Linked DNA regions of Caenorhabditis elegans. The protein of the gene in region 3 purifies or fractionates together with the protein of the main gene of each other region. This does not show direct contact. Each region holds a gene or a part of one and is shown on either strand. Other genes may lie near its edges.

What was found.
Region 1: the proteins of shl-1 (region 3) and ncs-4 purify together in Caenorhabditis elegans (affinity purification with western blotting; one study listed by BioGRID). This does not show direct contact.
Region 2: the proteins of shl-1 (region 3) and ncs-5 purify together in Caenorhabditis elegans (affinity purification with western blotting, with the first as the bait; one study listed by BioGRID). This does not show direct contact.

Annotation. Positions count from the first base shown.
Region 1 is NC_003284.9:10,173,881-10,181,154, forward strand, and holds ncs-4 (EF-hand domain-containing protein), read left to right. Parts: upstream 1-2,640; 5' UTR 2,641-3,356; coding exon 3,357-3,420; intron 3,421-3,467; coding exon 3,468-3,544; intron 3,545-5,300; exon of another isoform or gene 5,301-5,397; coding exon of another isoform or gene 5,398-5,505; intron 5,506-5,611; coding exon 5,612-5,702; intron 5,703-5,750; coding exon 5,751-5,863; intron 5,864-5,915; coding exon 5,916-6,063; intron 6,064-6,110; coding exon 6,111-6,175; intron 6,176-6,579; coding exon 6,580-6,696; 3' UTR 6,697-6,774; downstream 6,775-7,274. Other genes in the region: C07A4.2 (SCP domain-containing protein), read left to right, coding at 1-146; C07A4.3 (SCP domain-containing protein), read left to right, coding at 1,151-1,201, 1,243-1,475, 1,517-1,630, 1,677-1,902.
Region 2 is NC_003283.11:18,823,716-18,831,922, reverse strand, and holds ncs-5 (EF-hand domain-containing protein), read right to left. Parts: upstream 5,182-8,207; 5' UTR 5,077-5,181; coding exon 4,975-5,076; intron 4,048-4,974; exon of another isoform or gene 3,977-4,047; intron 3,223-3,976; coding exon 2,962-3,222; intron 2,876-2,961; exon of another isoform or gene 2,805-2,875; intron 2,179-2,804; coding exon 2,035-2,178; intron 1,769-2,034; coding exon 1,609-1,768; intron 1,514-1,608; coding exon 1,395-1,513; intron 716-1,394; coding exon 635-715; 3' UTR 501-634; downstream 1-500.
Region 3 is NC_003282.8:6,377,210-6,387,083, reverse strand, and holds shl-1 (BTB domain-containing protein), read left to right. Parts: upstream 1-3,013; 5' UTR 3,014-3,101; coding exon 3,102-3,203; intron 3,204-3,766; coding exon 3,767-3,994; intron 3,995-4,832; coding exon 4,833-5,281; intron 5,282-5,298; exon of another isoform or gene 5,299-5,319; intron 5,320-5,689; exon of another isoform or gene 5,690-5,710; intron 5,711-5,849; coding exon 5,850-5,958; intron 5,959-6,064; coding exon 6,065-6,280; intron 6,281-6,547; coding exon 6,548-6,724; intron 6,725-6,812; coding exon 6,813-6,915; intron 6,916-7,180; exon of another isoform or gene 7,181-7,201; intron 7,202-7,316; coding exon 7,317-7,509; intron 7,510-8,116; coding exon 8,117-8,198; intron 8,199-8,247; coding exon 8,248-8,325; 3' UTR 8,326-8,799; downstream 8,800-9,874. Other genes in the region: bli-6 (Nematode cuticle collagen N-terminal domain-containing protein), read right to left, coding at 8,976-9,788.

The DNA of each region.
Region 1 (7,274 bases), on a different chromosome or scaffold from region 3:
TAGTCAAATCCAGTTCAATTCGCTCCCCATGTGTCAGCTCTTCTCCAAATATGTACTTTATCTATGTTGTCGTCAAATATGATCCGGCTGGAAATTTCGAATCTCACAAGGCATATTTGAATAATGTCGAACGACCTGTTGCATAATTGAATTGCTGAATTTGTTTCACTGCTGCACTTCCCAACGACGTGATGTATATGTTAATAGAGTCATATCGCCGATTATTGTATATTTCACTTACCAATTGATCTCTTGTTCTGTATTCATGAAATGATTGTTTTGCTAAGAATTTGAAACTATACAAACACTTTTCACAGCATTCAAAAAGACTTATAAAAACAATAGGACCAAGACAGTTCTCCTACGGAAAAATATTTTATTTCAACAAGTAGCAGTTCAATATTTAATCAAAATTTTCATACAAAATGCGTCCACGTTAGCGCGCAAAAATCTGAAAATTACAATTCGGCTGTTCCAATACTACATGCCCGTAAGTGTGAAATGTACTTTGATCAACCAAAGCTTGCACATAATTGTACCTCACAATAAAGTTTGTTTGGAGCAACATTTCACTACTATTTTAACTTATTTCATTTATTCTTTTCGTTTAATTTATATTAGTCCAATATCATTTAGATTCAAGAATGTTTAACCACAATCAGAAAAATAACAAATTCTCCCGAACATTTTCTACAAACTCCATCTCAAAATCAGCGAAGATTCCTTTTGTGTTTGTTTGTATACATCCACGCTTCACCAAAAACATTCGTAATGTTGAAAACCGTTGGCAGTCTTCCATGCATCATAGTCTTGAAGTGCCTTTTTCCCCAATTTCGCATATTTCAATGAGTCATTCTCCTGGAAAAGTACAAAAAGCAGTGTTCCTGTTTGCACAGCCAGCTGAACATATTTTCCAGAACTGTTTCGGATCTTTATGGGTTGATCGATCAAATAAAACACCGCGTCAAACCTTTTTCAGATGTTCTCCTACGCGATCACAAGTTTCCCGCTTCCTGTTAAACATCATTTTTGATTTTGTGCCGTTTTCCATTTGCTTTATATCATCTCGTGATATTTGCTTATTGAATTCCCATATATTTTTTCAGACCGTTCTCAGAGTCAACAACGCTCAGCGACTAACGTTTTCAAGATGTTTGTTTCAATCTCCGGCGTAGATCCAGAACTAACCAAGCTAACAAATGTACGTTTTCGAAAATTAAAAAATTAAGCAGCTATGTTCAGCCAAGCGATGTTATGGTCTATATGCAAAACAAGTCATTAGAAGACAAATTGGATCCAGCAGAATATAGTATCAAAGATCTTAAAAAATGGATTGTACACTTTCATAATAAGTATAGAGCTCATCATAGCTCTCCAGCAGTTACTGTAGATTCGAATCTTACCAATCTTGCCCAGAAATGGTCGGATGAAATGGCCTTTCACAAGAAATGTTTAGTTCACGAGCAACCTTCAAAGTGAGTTGATACCATTTTTCACATCTGATTCAGTTTTACAGATACGGTGAAAATCTAACATCGTTTGCGTCTTCAAAATTCCCATCTCCAAAAACTTGTGCAGCTGCACTCATACACGGATTTTATACAGAAGGCTATGGATTTAATTACACTCGGTAATCTCGATGTAATGAATGCCTAAATTTAACTTTTTTTCTCAAGCTTTAACCCTGGATCTTGGTCGAAAGTCGGGCACTTCACTCAACTGCTCTGGAAGAATTCGCGCAAAATTGGAGTTGGAGTTTCAGTTGCAAAGCGGGGAACAATGTATCATGTCTACGTTTGTATCAAATACGACCCACCTGGTAATATGCAAACTTCTGAGGCTTACATGGATAACGTCAGAGCTCCAAAAAGTACAAGTGGATGCGGGTGCTTAATTATGTAAAGAACTGTAGCGAATACATTTTTGGGATTTAAATAGATATTAAAATAAAATTAATTCCTACACATTCAAGTATCATCATATTGATAATTTGATAATACAATTCAAATTTTCCGAAGGTACAATGCTATCAATGAAAAGTTTACAGTCGAGCGAATTACTCTTGTAATATAGTTTAAATATGAATGCTAAAGGTTTAAAACTGTGTGCATCATTATCAATTTCTGAGTCGATCAAGATCAAAATGTATAAACGAATAGAACAATGTGATTTAGTATCATACTGAAAACATTCCAATCGACAAAATTAGATTTGTATGAGAATTCAAAGTTTTTTTTAAATTTGATGAGCCGGAAACTACAGACGTACTAATGGTGTATTAATTTTTACAGCACTTTTTAAAATGCAAAGTTAGTAACAACTGGCTACACAACATTAGTAGAAGCATCATTACAGAATAACTTAGCTCAACGTTGATTGATATTTCAAATGTATCTGTTTCAAACATGAAGCTAGTCTAGACAACTTTGTTTTTCTTTGCGGATAGGTTTTATGAGATGATACGAGCGGATGAATCCAAATGAAAACGAAGACGGAAAAAATGAAAAAAAAAAGAAACAGGAAGAAACATGTGTTGATAGCAGGATTCTTTTGTCGCCGCTCTGTCTGTCCTCCCGACCATCAACCGAAATCATCTCTTATCCAATGTGCCTCGAGTCATTTTTGCGTGCGATGGCACTGGACTTGCAATACAACTTTTTCGTGCTCTCACCAATAACACTGCGTCTCCAACGGCAATGTCACTCAAAAGTCATTCTTCTTGCATGACAAAAAACCCGTCGGAAAGGGGAAAAGACAGGACACCTCTCTTCCTCGATGCCCCGTTTCCAACCGCCGCTGATTTCCCAGGCCCCGTTGTGTCAATTTGATCGACTTGGCGGTAACTGTTGGCAGCACTTTGATTTCCCCATTTATTTCGATCGCGGAATTCAAATTCTCGAGTTTAATGGCTTTCCTTCTAGTTCTTTTTTCGGTCAATTTGGTCTTGCCTCTTTTCACTACTAATTCGAGCTTCTTGAGTCACTTGACTAGAGAGCCTCAAATTACCAGTCCTGCAAAAAAAAAATTGAAGAAGAAAGTCAAACATTTTCATGAAAAACTGCAACAGCCTTAACCTTTTGAATTTAAAATTTTGAATATATATTTTGAAATTTTTTTTAAACTTTAATGTAAAGTATTCTCTGCAGGAGATAAAAAATTTAATGCATCTTTTCCTATTCGTACTCAATCGTGGATTTTAAAGGGCTTCACGTCATTAAACTATGACAATTTTTTTTGACTGAAGCATATTCAGGGTGTGTTTTTTAATTTGAATCATGGTTGAATAAATACTTTTTTGCCGTTTGAAACACTTACCGTATAACTTCCTTAAAAATTGTACAAATAGCAGTTACTAGATGAGCAGCTGGAAACGACGTTCTGCAATATCTTTTCCAGCGCCCGGAGAGGAACCAGTGATAGGTGAGAACTCCCATCATAAAGCAAAACAATAATCTTCAAAAGTTAAGGATTCGATTACAAAATTGATGTTCCCCTCCTTTCGCCGATTCATCAGCATGTTTTTCGACCATCCAGTCTACAGCAGGTACTTGTACTTTGAGATATGTTGCGCAAAGGGAAGAAACTTGCAATACGAGATATCGCCAATTTGTAATGATAACAACGAAATGTAGTGTTAACATATATGTACTTTATTTCCTTGTAGTTATTTGAGTATATGGTCAAATACGGTCAGTGCGATTAGTTAAGTTGAAGATATAGTTAAAGATAAAGGGAGTTTGAAGAAGATAATATTGAACTCTGTTCTTGCCAACTCTTCGTTTTGTCAATAAGATTGACGTGTGTGCGTGTATTAAGGAGACCGACCGTCGCGGTTTTGGAGGTAGGAATGTAGGAAACAAGGCCGGAAATGTATCATCAAGTTGGTAAAATACCAAGTTGTTAAGGGATCTAAAGTTCAATGAACGGGGGATTAATTAGTAGAAGATGTAAAGTAATTCAAGTTAAACGACGAAAATTTTGGTAGAGGGACATGAAGAATTTTGTTGTAAGAAACTTATGAAAAACAGCTAAAGATAAAAAGTTTTATGATTCTAAAATGTATGTATTTTTATCCAGAGCTCAATTTTATTAAGAACCTCTGCGATTATCTCCTTTTGTTTTTTATACTCTTATTCAATTCATCTGTATTATGTTAATTATATCATTAGTTCAAATAAAAAAACGGTTCCAATTTTGGTGACATGGCTACAAAATATTGAAAACTCGATCATTTTCAATAACTGGACACAGATTTGTGTTCCGTGACCTAAACGGAATTGTTAATATATTGAATTCCATTCGAATTCCAGAAAGAAACTTGAAAAATAATTTGATTGACTTATTGAAAAACAAAATTATACCTTGCTGGTCAAGTTGTTTTTTGTTTCTTTCGTACTTCCGCAAATTGCTAGTATCTTGCTAGAAATTTTCCACGTGGGAACAAAAAGTTTCCCATCTGCTTTTAAGCGAATCTACGGCTGTTTTTGTCTACCTGTAGAATGTGTAATTTTTCAGTATTCCAATATTAATTTTCGATTCTAGAATTTGTTCGGGTTATCACAATTTTACTTTAATTAAAAGTAGTTTTCCGCTCATGCATATAAGCTATTTTTACTGTATTCGCTTTTGTTTTGCATAAAAAAGTAAAATTATCTTAAAAAATCAAGTCGTCGTTCTATTCAAAACAGTTTTTGTCGTGAATAACTCGAGTTTAAAATCTTGTCTTTCGTTGAGATGATATCCGAAAACCTCAAAATGTTAAAAAATTCAGATAGTTTCCGGATCACACTTGCTGGAAAATGTTTTGAATTTACAGTTCTAAAAAATTGCTCAAATGTTTAACTCAGTTGGAACATTTTTATTGATCAATCCATCCAGAAACCGAATAAAAAAGTTGTTTTTTGAATTTTTCATCTTCAATACTCTTCTTGTCGTTGCAACCTTTTGATGTTTTTTCAAGAAGTGTGTTTTGTTCTACTTCATAGTTTTCTTGGTCATATTTGTTGCAAAGCATACTTCTGTATGAGTGGGTCGTCTCAGCAAAGCTACTATTTTTATTTTTCATTTTTAACTTTCTGAATCCCATAAAACTTTTGACGTCAGTATTAATTTTTAGTAAGAAGTATGCAGCTCAATTTCTTAGGCTCACTATCAGACTGAAAAAATGTTCTGGGAGGTACTGTTGAAAAAAAGAGGTGTTTTGATAATATGCTTACACATGTTGATAGATGGTCTTCAGTTATCTCATTAATATCATCTTGTCAACCAAACTCTGTGTTGGCCAAGCGAGTGAGGATGTTGTAAAGTCGGTGTGTGCCGAAAGCGAAGAAAAAAGTCAGCTCCTCCGGCTGATTTCTCTATCCATTTCACGATTCTTTGCTTTTGAAACTACCTTCTATGCCTGAAAACTCTAATATTCATAGTAAAAAGATATACCATCGGTTTGGAACTCGAAAATCAGTGCAACTTTCCGGGGGTCTTCACCCAAATGTGTCTTTGAACAAGGTATAATTGTATCTGTGATTCTACAAATGTTCGATATTTATAGTTAATGAAATATATATATTTTTTTTTAATTTAAAAAATATATTTCCTACTTTTCTGTTTTCAGGTAGTGGATGAAACTCATTTCTCAAAAAATGAAGTCAGAGCAATATACAGAGCCTTCAAAGAAACATCACCAAACGCTGTCATCAACAAAAGTAAAACACATTTGTCACAATAAGTCATCGGAAAATATATATTTTCAGATATTATGAGAGAAAAATTTGCGGAATTGTTTCCTCATGGTGATATTGAACATTATTCTGATCTCCTTTTTGAAACGTTTGACAATGATGGGAATGGAACAATCAATTTCCAGGTGAGAGTGTTCTCATTACATTACACTTTGACAAGTGTGAAGTTTTTCCCAGGAGTTTGTGAAAGCTCTCTCAATTCTCTGTCGTGGCACGTTGGACGAAAAGTTAGACTGGCTATACAAGTTGTATGATCCGAAAGAAAAAGGAGAAGTTACTTGGGACCGATTATTCTATGTGATCACATCTATGGATGATTTAATGGGTTGGTGAACTAAAAACATCCCTGATTTGTAAAAATCGTCATTTTAGGTAAGCACGCCAGACCACATCACACAAGAGAGCAGAAATGTGAGCTTACAAATCAAGTGTTTGCGGTGAGTGATTCATACAGCTATGACCTTACTGAGGTAGCACTGAACAAAGGTTATTAATTATTAATAAATAATAGCGAACGGTGATAAAGCTTTTGAATTGTGCACCAAGAGGGCAATGCAATAAACTGATCTCGTTAAACATAATGTTTTATGAAGTTTGTTGGTATTGAAAATTTTTAATGGAGGCTACACTATTTTTTAAATAACAATAAATAACAAAAAAAACTATGAGAGTTAAAATATTTTCACTATTTCGAATACATACTGACCCACATCCGTTATGCACACATAATTTAGCCTACTTCAGAATCTGATACTCGGAATATCTTGTTAAGAAATCTCAGAACTGTTTACTCTCAGCAACAATTGTCTTAATAAATGTCAAATAGTTTTGAAATTTCCAGAAGTTCGATGTTGGAAAAAAAGGACGAATAACAAAAAAGGATTTCTTACATATTTGTAAAACTGACCGAACAATTTTAAACTCAATTTCGGCACTTTACACTCTTCTTCCTGGTTGAACAATCTAAACATTTTTATGGTTTAAAAACAATTTCACATTATGGGTTGTATTTGTATTTATTGAATAAATTGATATATCGTTTTTAGTTATATATTTTTATAAAATGAATAGTAAAATGAAACGTGCTTATCAATCCCGTAAAACTATAATAATTACCTTTTTTTCAAACCAGGCTCCAGTTATCAACAGGTGGTTTGCGATTGGTGAACTGTGGGGAAAAAGCCTTTTGCAAATAAGTCCACCGTAGACTTATACATATATCACTAATGGAAACATGCTAAAAATGTTCCTGCTAAAAAATGAGACGCTCCGCTTTACCATCTTTTTAAAATTATGTATTATGGCTGAAAATAAATAAAATAATAAACTGTGGTATACAAAAACGATTTATTGAGTCGACACAGTTATTATTGTTGCAGTTCATCAAAATAAAATACAAACATCAGGGCGTGTGTGATGAGATACGATTTTTCAAAACAAAAAAGTCCAAACTGTTTTCCGTTGTGGGCGTGTAGGGATGAGGAGGTTTGTTGGCGCATATGCAATACTCACATACAACAAGTTTGATGAGTATTT
Region 2 (8,207 bases), on a different chromosome or scaffold from region 3:
AAGTGTCCAACTGGTGCAGTGGGATTTTCGCTGGCTTCCAATCACAAGACCGGGGTTGGAGTCCCCACTGTGGCACAAATTTCTCTATTTTTTTTGAAGTATTTCAAACACGCTGAATCTAAATTTCCACATTGCAAAGCTCAAAAATTGATTTGAAAAGTTGAAAACTCGGTTTTAAAATTAAAATTTAAAAAGTCTATTTATTTTTTTTCGAATACTGATTTTTTCATCACAAATTGAAAAACTTGCACGCTTTGTATATATCTATAAAAAAAATGCAAAAAATGATCTGTGGGCATTTTTTGACAAAAGTGTCCAAATGGCGCAGTGGGATTTTCGCCGACATCCAGTCACAAGACCGGAGTTCGAGTCCTCACTGTGGCAAAAATGTTTCCTAACTTTTTTTTGGGGTATTTAAAACACACAGAATCCAAATTTCAACATTACAAAGCTCAGAAATTGATTTGTCAAGTCGAAAATTCGGTTTTAAAATTAAATTTTTTAAAATATACCAATTTTTATTTAATTTTGAAAAATCTTAATTTTGGCATGGAAAAAAAACCACACAAATAAAGTTGAACATGAGATCTACAGATAAAGGAATGTTATATCAAGGGTTAAATCACTTTTTCGATTAAAGAGGCTTGGCACAGTTGGCAAATCCATTCGGAGCTGGGGAGACCGGAGTGAAGCCGATGCTTGAATCGTTGTTTTTCTGAAACAAAAATGAGTTGAAAATTTGAAATCCTTGTAAAATTTCCGTTAATTTGACACCCATATCGACTGGGTTTCGCAAAATTTGTATTTCGGGCTTCTTGAAACGGCCTGAAACGGCCTGAAAAGGCTACAATACAAATTTTGTGAAAACAAGGCATTGTGAATGTTATACTAACACCGTAACGCGTCAAATTTGTGTTCGTACCGATAAAGTCATGAAAATCTAAAATGTTGGGCCTATTTCGGCCTGAAATGGCCTGAAAAGCCTGAAACTCCAACACTCTTGATTTATGTGTTAACACAGATAGAAATAAACCAAAACTAAACATAAATTTAACTCATGGAACTGTTTGCCGAGCAACTAATGATTTTGGCCTAAAAAAAAGCCTATTTAGGTCTAAAACGGCCCAAACACCTAAAAATTTTGAAAATGGGCAATTTTTGTGAAAACAAATTGAAATTTTGTTAAAATTTAAATTTTCAAACAAATTAACACCCAAAATGGTAGAAACTTCACATTTTGGCCTATTTCGGCCCAATCCGGCCCAAAACGGCCAGACTTTAAAAATGTTTGAAACCTAGTCAATATGGGTTTCAAATTAACGGAATTTTTGCGTAGAATCCGAATTTTTTGACAAAAATTCACGAAAATCAGCCAAAATTCGAAATTCACCCACCTGAAAGAACCGGATCATATCGTCATAGGTCACTAATCCATCCCTATCACAATCCAGTTCGGCGAATATTTTTGTGGCTCTTTGCTGGACGGACTCCTTATTGATTTCTTCACCTCCGCCTAAAAAAATGTTCAAAAAAATTTGGAAAAAAAAATTTGAGAATTTTTTTTTATTCAAAAAATTTTTTTTGTTCAAAAATTGTAAAAATTCTTACTTTTTCCTTCATTCAACTGGAATACTGACTGGGTAAAGTCCAAAAAAGCTGAATATCCAAAACAATCGCCTTCTCCACCCCCAGTTATCAATCTCATTGTCCATTTGGCATTAGTCTCGGCGGTCTGAGGCTGTACATGGGAAAGGCTGTCTAGAAGGTTCTGAAACACTTAACATTTATCAAAATTCACTTAAAATACTTAAAAATTTGATGAAAAGCGCTAAAAATCAATTTTGGAGCATTTTTGAAAGAAGTGTCCGAATGGCTCAGTGGGATTTTCACCGGTTTCTAATCACAAGACCGGGGTTCGAGTCCGCACTGTGGCAAAAATTTTTATTTTGTTTTTTTCACGGTAATTCAATGACGCTGAATTCAAATTTCACAGTTTCAAATAAAAAAAATTTGATTTTCCTATAGAAAACTTACCTCAAAAGTGATAGTCTTCTTGTCGACCCCGGCGAACGCCGTAAAAAGCCTTGAAATATACTGATCCGTGGCTTTTTCCGGTGCAATTATTGAGGCGAGCAGGTTTCGGAATTCTTCTTCTTTCATTTTACCGGTAGGTGATTCCTGAAAAAAACAATTTTTTCAAAATGGCACAGTGGGATTTTCACCGTCTACCAATCACAAGACCTGGGCTCGAGTCCGCACTGTGGCAAAAATTTTTATTTTCTTGTTTTGGGGTAACTTCTGGGTTCCGAATTCAAAAAGTTAAGTTTCAGCGTAGAAAAAATCTCAGAAATGGTCGAAAATTGGGTTCAAAATTTTAAACTGGAAAAAAGTTTGAAATTAGCTCTAAAGTTGGAATTTAGAGTCACTAAAATTTGAAACAGTGCCTAAAAACGTATTTTCTACCAATTCCAATAAATTTCAGGATTTTTCGAAAAAAAGTGTCCAAGTGGCGCAGTGGGATTTTCACCGACTACCAATCTGAACACCCGGGTTCGAGTCCGCACTGTGGCTTAAATTTTTTTATTTTTTGTTATTGGGCTAATTCGGCTGTGCTGAATTCAAAAAAAAAAAGTTTCAGCGCAGAAAAGTTTCAGAAACGGTTGAAAATTGTTCAAAATTTTAAACTGGAAAAAAGTTAGAAATGAGTGCTACACTTTGAATTTAAAGCCACAAAATTTCAAAAAACTGCAAAGAAAACGTATTTTCTGTGTATTTCCATAAATTTCAGCGTTTTTCAAAATTTTGCCAAAATGGCGCAGTGGGATTTTTGCCGACTACCAATCACAAGTCCTGGGTTCGAGTCCCCGCTGTGGCTTAAAATTTTTTTTTTGTTTTCCTGTTCTAGAGTAATTTTACTATGCTGAGTTCAAATTTCCATATTCCAAACCTCGAAAACCTCACATTTTTGAATTTCGCATACATATACTTTATCCATTTCGGACTGAACTGTGTCCTCTGCGTCAACTGCTCCAACGACGGTGGTTGAACTCCGATCTCCCATTTGTCCACCACCTCGTCTAGATCCATATCTTCATTTTTGTAGAAAATCTTGAATTGCAGCGCCCGTATCGACCAGTACAGGCGGTGGAAGAGGGTGTCGAATATGGAGTTGGTGAATAGTTTTGGTGGCTCTGAGTAGGCGTTGTGCACGGCTCGGTCGAACTGAAAATTACAGAGTTATAGTGAAAAAATTTAAAAAAAAAGCAAGATTGAATCAAAATCCGGAAAAAAACCTTTTTTTTTACAAAGAAAAAAAGTTTGGTGAAAATTTTCAAAAACCTTTTTTTTTTGGATTTTTGGAGAAATAGAATAGTTTCAAAAAACTAAAAATTGCCCCTAAGCTATACGGATATAGATAAAAATCAATAAAATTGGAAATTTGAGCATTTTTAACGGTTTTGTCCAAATGGCGCAGTGGGATTTTCGTCGTCTACCAATCACAAGACCAGGGTTCGAGTCCCCGCAGTGGCGCGAATTTTTTGTTTTGATTGTACTATGGTATTTTGAATGTGGAGAGCTCGAATTTTTAAATTTTAAAGCCTAAAAAATGGTACTTTTCCGATTTCTGCCCCCCAAAATGTTTTTCAATTTTTTAATTTAATTTAATTCACACGTGAATGTTTATTTCAATAGTATTTTAATTTTTTGGCTTAGAAAACAACAATACTAAGCCTGAAATTACAAAAAAGTTCACGTTTCAATAATGCAATTTTCGAAAACATTTTGGGGGGCAGAAATCGGAAAAGTACCTAAAAAATTTTTGAACAAGCTGAACATTTTAGATTTAAAGTTCAATTTTAAATATATTAAAAAATATCTTCAAAATGTGATTTCTGAGTGTAAATTTTCTAAAATTTTAACTTTGAACGTGTTTCATCATTAATTGTGGTAATTTTCCAAATTTTTTCAAAATTTTGCCAAAATGGCGCAGTGGGATTTTCACCGACTACCAATCACAAGACCAGGGTTCGAGTCCCCGTTGTGGCAAAAAATTTTTGTTTTGATTTTTTGGTGGTTTTTCATAGCGTACGATTTGAATTTTTAGGTCTCCAGATTGAAATCGTGAGAAAAATCGTGAAAAATCGTAAAAATTTTATTTCAATTTTTTTTTTTCGTTTTTCTTCGTTTTTCTATATTTAATATTCACTAACCATTTTTAATTTTTTTCCCGACAAGCCTAAAAATCAGAAAACTTATACTAAGAAAATAAAACAAATGAAAAAAAAGTTATGGCGAAAGCTAGAAAATTGGAAAGCAGGTGGAAATTTTTAGAGGAAATCAATACGGAAAACTCTGGATTTTCTGATGAAACCAGGTGAAAATAAGGGCTAAATTAGAATTTTAACAAGATTTTATTATTTTTGAGCATTTTTGAAAATTTTGCGCAAGTGGCGCAGTGGGATTTTCGCCGACTACCAATCATGAGACTGAGGTTCGAGTCCGCGCTGTGGCAAAATTTTTTTAAAAGATTTTTTTTGGTTTTTGGGGAAACTCAAGGGTGTTAAACTCAATTTTCTATGCTTGATATTCCAAAAATATCTGGAACAACTTGTTTTAAAATTGATGTTCTCAAAAAATGGAAAATTAGTATTAAAACTGGATTTTTTAGGAAAAAATTGAAAATTTTGACCCAAGATTTTTCATAATTTTCTATGAATTTTCGACAAATTTCAAAATTTTGCGCGAGTGGCGCAGTGGGATTTTCGCCGACTACCAATCATGAGACCGGGGTTCGAGTCCGCGCTGTGGTCGAAATTTTTTTTTCAGTTTTTTTTTTGGTTCTTGGGGTAATTCAAGGGTGCTGAACTCAAATTTCAATGTTTTAGGTTTCAAAAATATTTGGAACAACTTGATAATTTAGTTTAAAATTCGTAAAAAAATTCGATTTTTTTTTTTCAAATATTTTAAACTTACTATAATCTGATAGAGACTTTGCTCATATTGGTCCTGTAACATAGTAGATTTACGACCTGGCCTGTCGCCACGTCTCGAGTCAATTGATGAGGCTCCGCCCATTTTTTTAACTTTTCATTTTTCACAAAAAAATAATTTCAAAAAAAAATTTTCCAAAAATTTTTTTTCGGGTTTATCTTGTTTTTATGTTGGAATATAGCTGATAGGTGATAGTGGTAATAGACAAGTGATGATATCAGTGATAAATGAGGGTTGAGAGATGAGAACTGGTGGCACTGGTGGCACCCCCTCCCTGCTGACACGACAAGTGATAGTGGTCGAGCAATTGAGAGATATCAGATGGTGATAAGAGGGGAAATGATGAAAAAAGAGAGATAAACACATATATAATGTTGTTTTTGTGTTTTTTTTTAATCTCGAAAAAAAAAAATTTTTTTTTTTGAAAAAAAAGTTGAAATTTTTTCGAATTTTCCCGATTTTTTACAAATTTTTAAGGTTTAAAATTGTGAAATTCAAGATGAGAACCTGTAAATTACACATAAAAAACAAAGTGAAACGGAAAAAAAATTGGGCCACAGCGGGGAGTCGAACCCCGGTCTTGTGATCGGTGGTCGGCGAAAATCCCACTGCGCCATTTGGAAACTTTTTTTCAATAATGTTGGTCGTGCAAAAATTGAGTAAATTAACGTTTCAAGCATGAAATATAATTATTTATATGGGAAATATGATTTTCAAGCTAATTTTCAGCGTTTCGAAAAAAAACCATTTCCCAAAAAACCAAAAAAACCGAAACTAAATTTACGACTATTTCTAGAAATTTTACAATTCTAAAACTAGTAAATTCAAGCTCTACACAACTAATATGCTCTCACAAAACTAGAAAAAAAATTGTGCCACAACGGGGACTCGAACCCCGGTCTTGTGATTGGTAGCCGGCGAAAATCCCACTGCGCCATTTGGACAAAATTGTCGAAAATGGCGGAAAATGGCTGCTTTTATCAAAAATTTATCTTCTTAAAGTTTTTGTGCAAATCTTGGAAAGAAGTTTCATAATATAGAAAAAAAATTTCAAAAATTTTTTTTTCAATGTTTTTAGTACGAAAGCCCAAACAAATTTTGCCGAAAAAAGAAAACATCACTCACTAGACACAAAAATTTGAGAAAAAAGAACGAATAAATGCCAAACGCATATCCTTTTCGTGTCTTTTGGAATGGGAAAAAGAGATATTGAATAGAAGAAAAAATAACTGGAAAGATATAAATGGAATTGTCTTCTTTTTTTGGTTAGAATGCTCGTTTGGGTATGAAATTACAAAAATTCAAGTTTAAATTCTATTGATAATAGGAAAAATTTTGGAAAAAAATTTTTTTGAAGATACAAAAAAAACTAAAATTTTATTCTAAAAACTGAAAATTAACGTGACAAAATACAAAAATTCAAGTTCCCCACCCTTAAATTGTCCTTAACCTTTTCGAAAATTACAAAAAAAAAATTTTGCCACAGCGGGGACTCGAACCCCGGTCTTGTGATTGTAAGGCGGCGAAAATCCCACTGCGCCATTTCGGCAAAATTTTCAAAAATAGTGAAAAATGCTAAAAAGTGGGATAATTGACAAGTAAACACATTTTCAGCGTAAATTTTCTGTTTAAATGAAAAAAAAACCAGTTCTACAACCAATTTGAAATTTGAAGTATTGGGAGACGCTTTTCGACAAGTTCTCAAACTTTTTGCGGTCTGAAACCTCGAAATTCGAGTTAATTATCTTTGAATTACTCGAAAAATCCACAAGAAAAAATTTTGACCACAGCGGGGACTCGAACCCTGGTCTTGTGATTGGAGCCGGCAAAAATCCCACTGCGCCATTCAAACGAAAATTTCAAAAAAGGTGGAAAGTGATGATAATAATAAGAAAAATAGGTTTTCAATCCATATTTCACAAATTAATTCTAAAAATCTAATAATTTAAATAAAATTTTCACAATTTTCGGATAAAAATTTCGAATCCAAAATTTCGACCTTTCTAAAAGTTTTGCACCTTTAAAACCAAAAAAATGCAGGTTTTAAAGTCGAAAAAACCGTAAAACTGCTCAAAATCACAAGGAAAAAAATTTTTGCCACCGTGCGGACTTGAACCCCGGTCTTGTGATTGGGAGTCGCCGAAAATCCCACTGCGCCATTTGGGCAAAAGTTACAAAAACACTAAAAAATGTAAAAATTTGCAGGAAAATCATAAAATTTATGTTGTCACTCGGGTTTAAAGACGAAATGAAACAAAACGTTGTGAAATTTGATAGGACCCTTTTTTTTCGGAAATCAGAGCCCCCGAGGAAAGAGGGGGACTCTGATTTACGATTGAGCATTGAACAGGAGGTGGAATATCTGTTAGGCTTTGTTATGAAACTAGAAAATTGAAAATGAATTGAGAAAATTTAGGAAATTTGGGAAAATTTTTTTCAAAAAATTCGAAAAAAAATGTTTTTTTCAAAAATTTGGCCTAAAATTATTTTTTTTTTCCCAACATTTTTTGTTTCAACTTGGGTTATTTTAGTTTAAAATCAACGTTTTCCCACATTTTTCACACCAAAAAATCGAAAAAAAGCAGCGAAAATAGAGAAAAAAAGCGAAGAAGAAGTTCTCATCTTCTATCTCATTTCAGCGTCATTAATTATTCGACTTTTGTGGTGTTGTGGTGGTGGTGTGTAGCATTGGTTATTAGTTGTATCTCTAAAAGTCTGTGGAACAAGAAAAAAATTATACATACTACACTCTTTTTGGAAGTTTTTAGGCCAAAGATGACTGACTTTGCCGATATGCTATATTAAATAGTATATTTTTTGCATTTTTAAAACTCAAAATATATAAAAATTACGAAATCTACCTTAAATATTACATTTCTTTCGAATTCAGTCAATTTCCGCCATTTTCGACAATTTGTCTGAATGGCGCAGTGGGATTTTCGGCGCCCTCCAATCACACAACCGGGGTTCGAGTCCCCGCTGTGGCAAAATTTTTTGTTTTATTGTTCTTAAGGCAAACCGACTGGGCTGAGTTGAAAATTTTAGGTTTTGAAGCTTAATAAGTTCCAGAAAATACGAAAATTTAGTTTTTAGAAAAATGTGGAAAAAACAATAGTTTTCTTACTTAAAAATTTTTCACTATTTCAAATTTTTTTGCTATACTGACAACAAAACTAAGCTTATCATGCTAAAAATACCGCCCAAGTTGGAAAAAA
Region 3 (9,874 bases):
AAATTCTTACAAACATTTCAAAAAATTGGTCAAATATTTTTCAGACAAAAATTAAGTTTTATTCCCTGTTTCACAAAGTCTATGAAAACTATCGCACTATGATCCTCATTCACTTTTTCAAAGTAGTCATTTTTGATATCGTTCTTTGATATTTTGAGCATCTGCCACTAACAATTAGAAATTAGAAAAAGAGAGAGTAGAGATGGAGAGAAAAAGTGAATTGTGAAACGGGATATGGGTGTGAAAGTTTGTTAGGTTCACTAACTGCAACATTCGTCTGACTTTTTGTTTTTTTAGACTCCCATACCTTCTCTTTGTTTACTGAAAAATTATTCACTGGGAGTATTAAAAATATAGATGCAATTGGAAACAGTCATCGATTTTACTTTTTATTAGCTTTTTCAATTGTTTTCTTACGTTGTCAGAGTGATTGTTTGCACTTCTGCAAAATATGCCTATTTAATTTACTGTTTCTTGAGAAATGTATACAGTCATTATTTCTAGCGATACTCACAATTTTATTGCATTTCCTTGTCTAGCTTCTAGTTTTAATAAATTGATTGCATAAATATTGGATATACATAAAAAGTAAATAATACAAAATCTGACGACTTGACACAATAAGACTTCGTGAAACAGTTAAAATTTGATAAATTCTAAGGAACCCCTATGATAGATAAACAACATCATGTTTTATATGCGTTTTGATACACTCAAAATGCTAAAACTGCTGGGTGCCCTAATTTTTCAGGCCTAAATTTTGAAATCTGTGCAAACACGCCACACAGTTTCATCATATTGAGTGTATGTTCCTAGAAAACTTTCAATGAGTTTATTGATTCCGGAAAATGAGAATTGCCCAAGCAAAATCTACCCCGCAAACACAAAACAAATTATTTTAAAAATTCGGAAGACTAGGCGATAGGCAGGCAGGCTCGCCTAGCCCAAATTTTACTACATAAAGTACGCCTCCGCATTTCAAATGTGGAAATCGTAACAGTTAATAGCACTATTAACGTATTTTAAGAGATTACCGTTTCACAACCATTTGAAATGATTCTACAAAACTCGTTACATACTGCATTAGTGTTTAAAACAGTGAGAACTACAGTTAGAAACAATGTATCCACAAGTGACAGTCCACTTTCAAAATATTAACGTTTCACAACTATTATGAATAGTTTTTTAAAATAGTTTTTTAATCGGTACGTATTATAGTTATTTTGATCAACTAGTTCATTCTTGATTATTCTTTCCTCTTTTTTTAAATCCAATTTAACCGAAAAAAGCACAAAAAAAATGAGGAGAGCCAGTCAACTACTGCCAAAGCAAGCATTTTTAAAGTCTAAATTAAAATTTCAACAAATCAAGTAAACAAGAAAAATTGGGTTAGGCACGCAAAATTATCCACGGGACTATCAAACACCATGCTTCACCCAAATATGTAGAAATTAGGCGTTAGGCAGGTAGGCAATGGTGTTCTTTCCTAACATGAAGTTTAATTTGACTAATTGAAGTACACATAATCAACCTTCAAAAAACTTTTCAAAAAGTTCAAAAATTTTCAAAAACAATTAAAAACCCTCCAAAACGTGATTTCAGATGAACTTCAACTTGTACTTTTTCTAAACAATTCTTCAACTTTTCCGTAACGTGCCTTTTCTTTTTTCAGCTTATTTTGCTTATTCTTTTCTTCTCTCTTTATCCAATTCAACCGAAATAAGCACAAAAAATCGAGGAAAGCAAGTCATCTCCTCTCAGGCAAAAATTGAATATCGAGTTTCATTTTCTCTCTCTCTCTCTTTCTTTTTCTTTTTTTTCTAGTCTGAAGATGTCTTCAGAAGAGGTCGACTTTTCCAATTTTGTCTATCGTTTTCTCTTTCTTTTCCTGGCATCAAGGAGCCCGCGAGCCTTTAGAGAAGAGGGCTCTTTACACACAAAATTGGATAAAATTGAAAAAGAAGAGGAAAAGTGTGAAACTGGAAATGTAACACTTCTTCCTTCCCTCCAGTTCTTTTCTCTCCTTTTCTTTCCTTCACATTTTCTTTTGTCCCACGGCTTCTTGCTTCTCGAACCGATCTCGACGTCGTCTCGCGTCGTTTACGGGTAATTTGAGCCCACACGTCGTCACCCGTTTGGAGCTCTGCGCCAAGGAAACCATCAAAATTGGAGTGGGAAAGAACCTTATGTTTTTGCAAAACGACAAAAAGTTTAAAGTTGGCTGCTGTTTCTAAAAACGTTTTTTTTTGAAACAAGTGCACTTTTGCAGTTTTTTGTGACGTGCAAGCCTTCTAGACTTCACTTTTGGCTTGAGACCACTATTCAGCTATATAGGTTATGTATTCTGAGAAAAAAACATAGTTTTTTTTGTTGTTAGGTCAGAGTTACCGTAGTTGATGTATTGCAAATGTTTGCTTAAAACAAATTATTGATTTGAAAATCTTGATTTTGAAATTGAAAATTTTCCTGTGATTTTTAAGTGAAACCGTAAGTTATATATTTTTTGGCATAGCAAACTAAAATTTCCGTTTCACAGTCATTTGAAATGATTCTACAAATTTCAACATATACTACATATGGCTCCATACTTTAAAATTCGTAATTTCTAAAAATATTTCTGAATTATCTTGAACTCGAAAACTTAGTCATCAGCCCTTTGTGTCTCCAATTTCTTTCCAGAATGTAACATTTCTGAAACCCCGGTTTTCCAATGTACCCGCATATCTCACGTCGACCGACCTACCTATGCGCCTGTATTTTTATGATATGTTATTATCCCAAAACACATACAGACTTACCCTTTTTTATTTCGATTAATTTATTTCAAACTTCAAACGAAAGCTCGATTATTTAATTTTCAAGCAACTGCTGTTGTAGACCACTTGAAATATAAGTTTTCAAAAAAATCAAACTTTCAAATTCTTCAATATATTTCCAATTCCCATAAATGATTTCTTTTCTTTTCATTAATTCGCTTCAACTTTCAAAATTATTTTCATAACTCCTGCTTTACAGCGTACCCAGCAAAATAGAAAAAATTTTCCTGAAAACGACGTCATCAGGAAAAGTGTTCAGAATCCGTCGTCGTTGTCTTCTTCAGAATGGCTTCGGTGGCGGCGTGGCTGCCGTTCGCGAGAGCCGCCGCTATCGGATGGGTTCCCATTTCGAGACAGCCCATGCCACAGGCCCCAGTTGCAATACAGGTTAGGTTTGGTGGGAATAATTTTCTAAATTTAAATATAAAGTAGTCCAAATTTGATCTGAAAAAATTGCGCCAAATATTTATTTCCCGATGTTTTTTTACACTGTGATATTTCTAAAAATTTTTGTGTGACGCCACACATCTTCATTTTTAATGAGAGACACTTAGGCAGCATTCTGTGTTTCTATTCGGTCATTTATAGACACTATAAAACAGTGGAAATTTCCACGTTCTCACAATTAGGAATTCTTGTTCGCGGAAAAGGTTCAAACATCAAAAAATACGGAATTCTTTCATAAATTCTTGTTCACACACGTGTTAGGTGGTCGATGTCTTTTGAAAATTTGGAAATTTGATACGAGTGTCATATGCAATGAGAGATTAGATCCTCTTTTTAGTTCCAGGATCCGTAGTGAGAGGGAAACTAAATATACATTTTGAACTTTGGATATGCAAAATTTTTACTGTTTCATTTATTTGGCAGATTCCTCTTTTTCATGAACTAATTTTTTGTGTTGCCTGTAGATCTCTATATGTTCACAAGCTCTCAATGTGATATTTCAGGCCAAAGACCTCGCGGTTGATCATGTCTCTGACGAAAAACTAGCAATCAACATATCAGGACGAAGGTTCGAAACGTGGAAGAACACGTTGGAAAAGTTCCCAGAGACTCTATTGGGGTCAAATGAAAAAGAGTTCTTTTATGATGAAGACACTGGGGAATACTTTTTCGATAGGGATCCGGACATATTCCGACACATTCTCACATTTTATAGAACGGGAAAATTGCATGTGAGTTGTTTGTTTTTGTTGTTTGAGCCAGTTTGAGACAAAAAATTGCAAGCATTAAAAATTAATGTTTTTTGAAACAGTTTTTTTAAAAATAAACTCTCTTCAACTTTCTAAACTTCCGCTGAAAATGTTCTTAAAATGTAGAATCATGCTTTGACATTTTTTCTATAAAAAATCAAATTTTAACCCATTCACATAGGCGCTAATGTCCCCGTCTACCAACAAAGCAGCATAGACCTGTCTCGAGCCTACAGACAAACCGCAGGCGGGCAGCAGGCAGGCGTTAAAATTAAAAATATCTGCCTACAAACTTACGCATTTGTTTTGCAATTTTTTTTTGGAAATATACAGAATTCAATTGATTGTAAAATAGATGCAATTTTTATTCAGAAAAATATTAAATCTTTTGAGCAATGCTTTTTGAGAATTTGGAGCATCGCCGGAGAATATTTTAAATTAATTATGCCTAATGGTGCTTAAATGGCCTAATAATGTAGTAAATCCTTTATAAATTCAATTTTTTTTAAAATTTTATTCAAAAGTGACGATTCCTCATTTTTTATTTATTTTAATAATGCGTTAATAAGTTTTACTCAAACACTGTATGAGTATGAACTTGTAAGACTGCTAGATATTTCTCAAAGGAAACGGAGTAATATTTTTCGAAAATAAATTTTAATTTCAAAATAAATTTTATTTTGTATTATAATTTTCAATATTATTTTTTAATAAAAAAAATCTTTGAAAAATTTAAGATTTTCGTTTGAGTATGTGGTGACTTGTTGAAATCTATTAAAATGCGCCACTTTCCATTTTTCCCAGAAATCCATATTTTCAGTATCCCCGTCATGAATGTCTTGTTGCATACGACGAAGAGCTCAGTTTCTTTGGAATAATGCCTGATTTGATATCAGATTGTTGCTATGAAGACTATAAAGATAAAAAACGAGAAAATCAAGAAAGATTACAAGAAGAACGTGTAGAAAATGCGGATATATCAACATTAAAATTGTCTCTTAAAGAGAAAATGTGGGCGGCATTCGAGAATCCGCACACAACATCAATAGCACTTGTATTTTATTATGTCATTGGATTTTTTATTGCTGTATCAGTGATGTGTAATATAGTGGAAACAATACCTTGTGGGTATGAGGATAATGTGTCTGTGACGTGTGGAGAAGCCTATGAAGAGCAATTCTTTGTTATCGATACAGCGTGTGTTATCATTTTTACGATTGAGTACTTTTTACGGTTGATTTCTGCGCCGGACCGAATCAAATTTATGAGGTACGTTTCTTTTAATATCAATATGTAAACTTCTCACACTAATAAGTTAAATATTCACTGATTTTATCAAACTCATTTGAAACAGCAATAAAATTTTGAATTTTCTAATTATCCAATTTTGACGCTTTTTGATTACCTATCGGCTTTAGAGACAATTTAATCAACCAATTATTTAATACAAAAATAAATTAGCAAAACGCAATTAGGAATAATAATCAAATAAAAACGAATTACCCAATGCTATGGGAAAGTTCGCGAAATTCAAGATTTGAGCTAAAATAATCGTAATTCTTTTCAAAATCTTGTGCCGCCAAAAAAAAATTGGAAAATTTTTTGAGAAGTCTCATTACAAAATTCAACCATTTCAGTATGACCCTCTAGCCCGTCTTTAATGCATTTTTATGATTTCAAAAGTTTTGTTCAAAATTATCAGTTCAAAAATATAGAGATGTTTCTCATAACAATCATGAAACTGTAAAATAATTAAGGACACATTTGTCAAAATTGGATAACATGTTATTTATTCGTCCTTATTTTTTTAACCATTTAAATGGTTTTCTTTTTTCAGGTCAATAATGAGTGTAATCGATGTGATTGCCATAATGCCTTACTACGTTAGTTTGGTACTAACTGACAATAAGGATGTATCCGGCTTGTTTGTCACTTTAAGAGTTTTCGTAAGTTTTTTCTTTTGTTAATCCTTAAATTGAATATCCAAATATTTTTTCGAACATTCTGATAAAAATCATTAATTCTTTGATCAAATCCTTCTAAAATTTACAGCGTGTCTTCCGAATATTCAAATTCTCACGACATTCCCAAGGTCTTCGAATTCTGGGTTACACTCTTAAATCGTGTGCAAGTGAACTTGGATTCCTTGTATTTTCACTGGCAATGGCAATTATCATATTTGCCACTATTATGTATTATGCGGAGAAAAAGGTCGACGCGACGAGATTTACCTCGATTCCGTCAGCTTTCTGGTATACAATTGTGACTGTGAGTTTTTCTTTGTAAAATTAAGAAACGGGGTTGAAATTTTGATTTTTACGTTAAATACTCTCCATAAAACCTTCAACGTTTTGCAAATACCTTATCCCAAATGCACTAGGAAAATGTAAATTTTAAAGTTAATATTTGCATTGGAAAAATTAAAAATTAAAATATTTTTTTTTTAATTATACAAATCACTGAAGACTAAAGGTGAAACCTATTCATACAACACAGTCATTGTTTTTCATAATAAAAAATTAATTTTTCTTTCAGCTAACAACTCTTGGATACGGAGACATGGTTCCATCAACAATAATGGGTAAAATAGTTGGAGGAGTATGCTCACTGTCTGGAGTGTTGGTTATTGCTCTTCCAGTTCCAGTTATTGTCAGCAATTTCTCTCGAATTTATCATCAAAATCAGAGAGCTGACAAGAGAAAAGCACAGAAGGTATGGTTTTTCGTTCAGTTGTAAAACCTTTTTAAACACTTAGTGATTTTTTTGCAAATTTGTTGGATTAAATTTAATCAATTTTCAGAAAGCCCGTCTTGCTAGAATTCGGATCGTTAAAAACGCGTCTGGACTAGCATTATTCAATAAGAAGAGAGCTCATGAAGCTCGGATGCTAGCATTTGAACAGGGTAAGTTGGTTTTTTTTTTCATTAGAACATTTCGTATTGCCGGCTTAAGTTAGTTATTATTGAGTTGTCACAAAAATATTTAACTTTGGAAATATAGAAAAGTATTCCATTTTGTTTTTCGGTCTCTTGGCATTTCTGTTGGCTCAAAAAAAGCAAATATAAAACATTAAAATTAAAAATTAATAAAAACAGTTCGTGATTCCGCTTGCTCAAGAGGGCACAAATTTTGAATCCGGTATAAAAAACAGATTCTGTGGTTTTTTTTTATTCCGTTTTTTTATATTTAATGTTTTAGGTTTTCGGTTACTTAATTTATTAGCAATGTGAAACATTAAAAAAAAATTATGTGTACAAAATTCTAGATTATAATTGAGATAACTCTAAAAAGTGCATTTTTGCAGGTCATCTCTCTTTCGATGCTCTCCGAGACGAAGATATCTTCGAAATCCAACATCATCATCTTCTTCAGTGTCTAGAAAAAGCGACGGAACGTGAATTTGTTGAATCAGAAGTGATGTTTGAAGGTGGAAGAAATACTCCTCCGCCCAGTGAAACAGCTTCATTGAAAGGAAAAACAAAGCGTAAAAGGCGATTGTGAGTTTTTGATTTTCAATCCTTTGAAGATTTATTAGTCTCTGGATTTCAGGGTAAAAAAATAAGAAAAAATTTTATACTATTCATCAATAAAATAAATTATCATCAAAAAAATTCACTGATGCTTTCTTTTCGTTAATGCATTTAAAATGGAAAATAATCATGAATGAAAATGAAAACTGTAGAAAATATTGTTGCGTTTTAAAATCCAAAATTCAAAAATATGCCTCTGCAACCCTGGCTAAGATGTCTGCTTGAATTCCCACCAAACATAGAACAAGGATATTAGGCAGCGTTGAAATACCATGTTTTCAAAAATTGTAGTTTCAATTATTTCTTGAATTTTTTTGAGTTTCTTCTTTGTCAGCAATATTTTGAGTATTTTAAATTAGAACCCCATTCGAAAAGTGAGTGTACCACGAAATGGTCTCGTTGGTGCAACTTTAGAGGGAATTCAAATAGCAAAATTGACAAAAGTGGAAAAACCTTAAATTCTTGATGTTGGATTTACTTCTTATTTTTGTCATTTTTCCTTGGTGATATTTTTGATTTTTGGATCACAATTTTGAGTTAAAACAACAAATCTCCTGAAATTTATTTTTTTTAGATGCTGTGTTTCAAAAGAAAATGAAGAAATGGAAGAGTTGGATCGAGAGACTCGTGTAACATTCAATCAGAATATGGATCAGGTATAAACTAACACCAGTTATTTGTTGAAAATTATATTATTAATTTCAGATTTGTGAATTACCAAAACCTGATGAAATGGAACTCAATCATCGAAATAATGACAAAATTTGCGTATCGCAACTGTAATCTACTTCTTTATTTTATTTTTTTAAAATGATTTCTAAAAATCATTTTCTATAGAAAATTTCTCTCATTGCTCTACCGGTTCCGTCTTTCTAGAAGCTAGTTGTTCTTTTACAAAAGTTTTCTGAAATCATCCCTCCCAACTATTCGGTTTCCCCAATCTCTCATCAACGATGCAATTTTGTTTTTTTCTGTAATTTTTACTTTTTCAAGTTAGAAACAAATATATTTCCATTGAACCCGTTTCCCGAAAAACTTCATATCGCTCTTTTTCTTTTTCAGTTCGAGGTGACTTTTCTCTAAATTTTCCCCGCTACTAGGAGCCTCTCCGATGATCTGCCCATTGGTGGCAGATGTCTTTCATTTTTTTTTTGATTTTTCAGATGGAAATATAAAATTGAAGTAAAATTAACTTTTTATGTGCAGTTTTTTTTTTTTCAATTTTCCAGGTCTGTCGATAAAGTTTTATTTATTTTCTAATTTTAGAAAACCACAAAGGGAATTACTTTTTTTTAACTTAGTGAGCTGGTTCATTTGTATCAGCTCATTGCTGAAAAAATGTAACTGTACAACATTCCGCTTCATTCCAATTGCATTTTAAACTACAAAAAACTTTATAAACAGATACATAAAATAATGCAATTATCAACAGTTTATCGTCGGGTTCCGTCCTCAAAGAAGATTCCTCCATCGATAGCACAATACTTTGGACAGATTCCCTTCTCTCCAACACTTCCTGCTTGTCCGGCTTGTCCAGCTGGTCCTGGATTTCCATCAGATCCTGGTTGTCCTGGTTGTCCAGATGGCCCCTTTGGTCCTGGTTGACCTGGTTGACCATTTTGTCCTGGAGTTCCTGGTTGTCCAGGTGGTCCTTGTGGTCCAGCCTCTCCTGGTGCACCTGGTTCTCCTGGAACAAGTGGCTCAGATGGAGCATCTTGACCTGGGTTCCCATCTTGCCCTGGTGCTCCTGGTTGTCCATTGACTCCTGGTGGTCCCTTTGGTCCTGGTTGACCTGGTTGTCCATCTTGTCCTGGACCTCCTGGCTGTCCATCAAGTCCAGCATCTCCAGCTGGTCCTGGTGGTCCTTGAACTCCTGGTGGTCCTTGTGGACACGGTTTGCATGGTGGTGGGGTAATTGGGTCACATGGAGCTTGTGGTGGACGTCCTGGATTTCCAGGAAGTCCAGCTACTCCAGGCTTTCCTGGACGACCTGGCTTTCCTGGGGTACCGACGGGTCCAGCTGGACCTGGAAGACAGCATCCAGAGCAGGATCCTCCAGCGGCCCCAGCAGATCCAGCGGCACCAGAATCTCCGTAAGAAGCTTGACGGGCGGTACGGTTGGAACGGATCGAGGAGACCTCGTTGAGAATGTCTTTAGCAGAACCCTTACAGTACCGGATCTCGTGATGAATACCCTTCTTCACGTGCGAGACGTAGTTGTAGACCATCGGAAGTGTGATACATACCTACAAAAAAGTTCATAAATGGGTTTTTGGACACAGTTTAATTTTTAATTCACTTCCAAATTATCAAAGAAATCATAATATTAGTC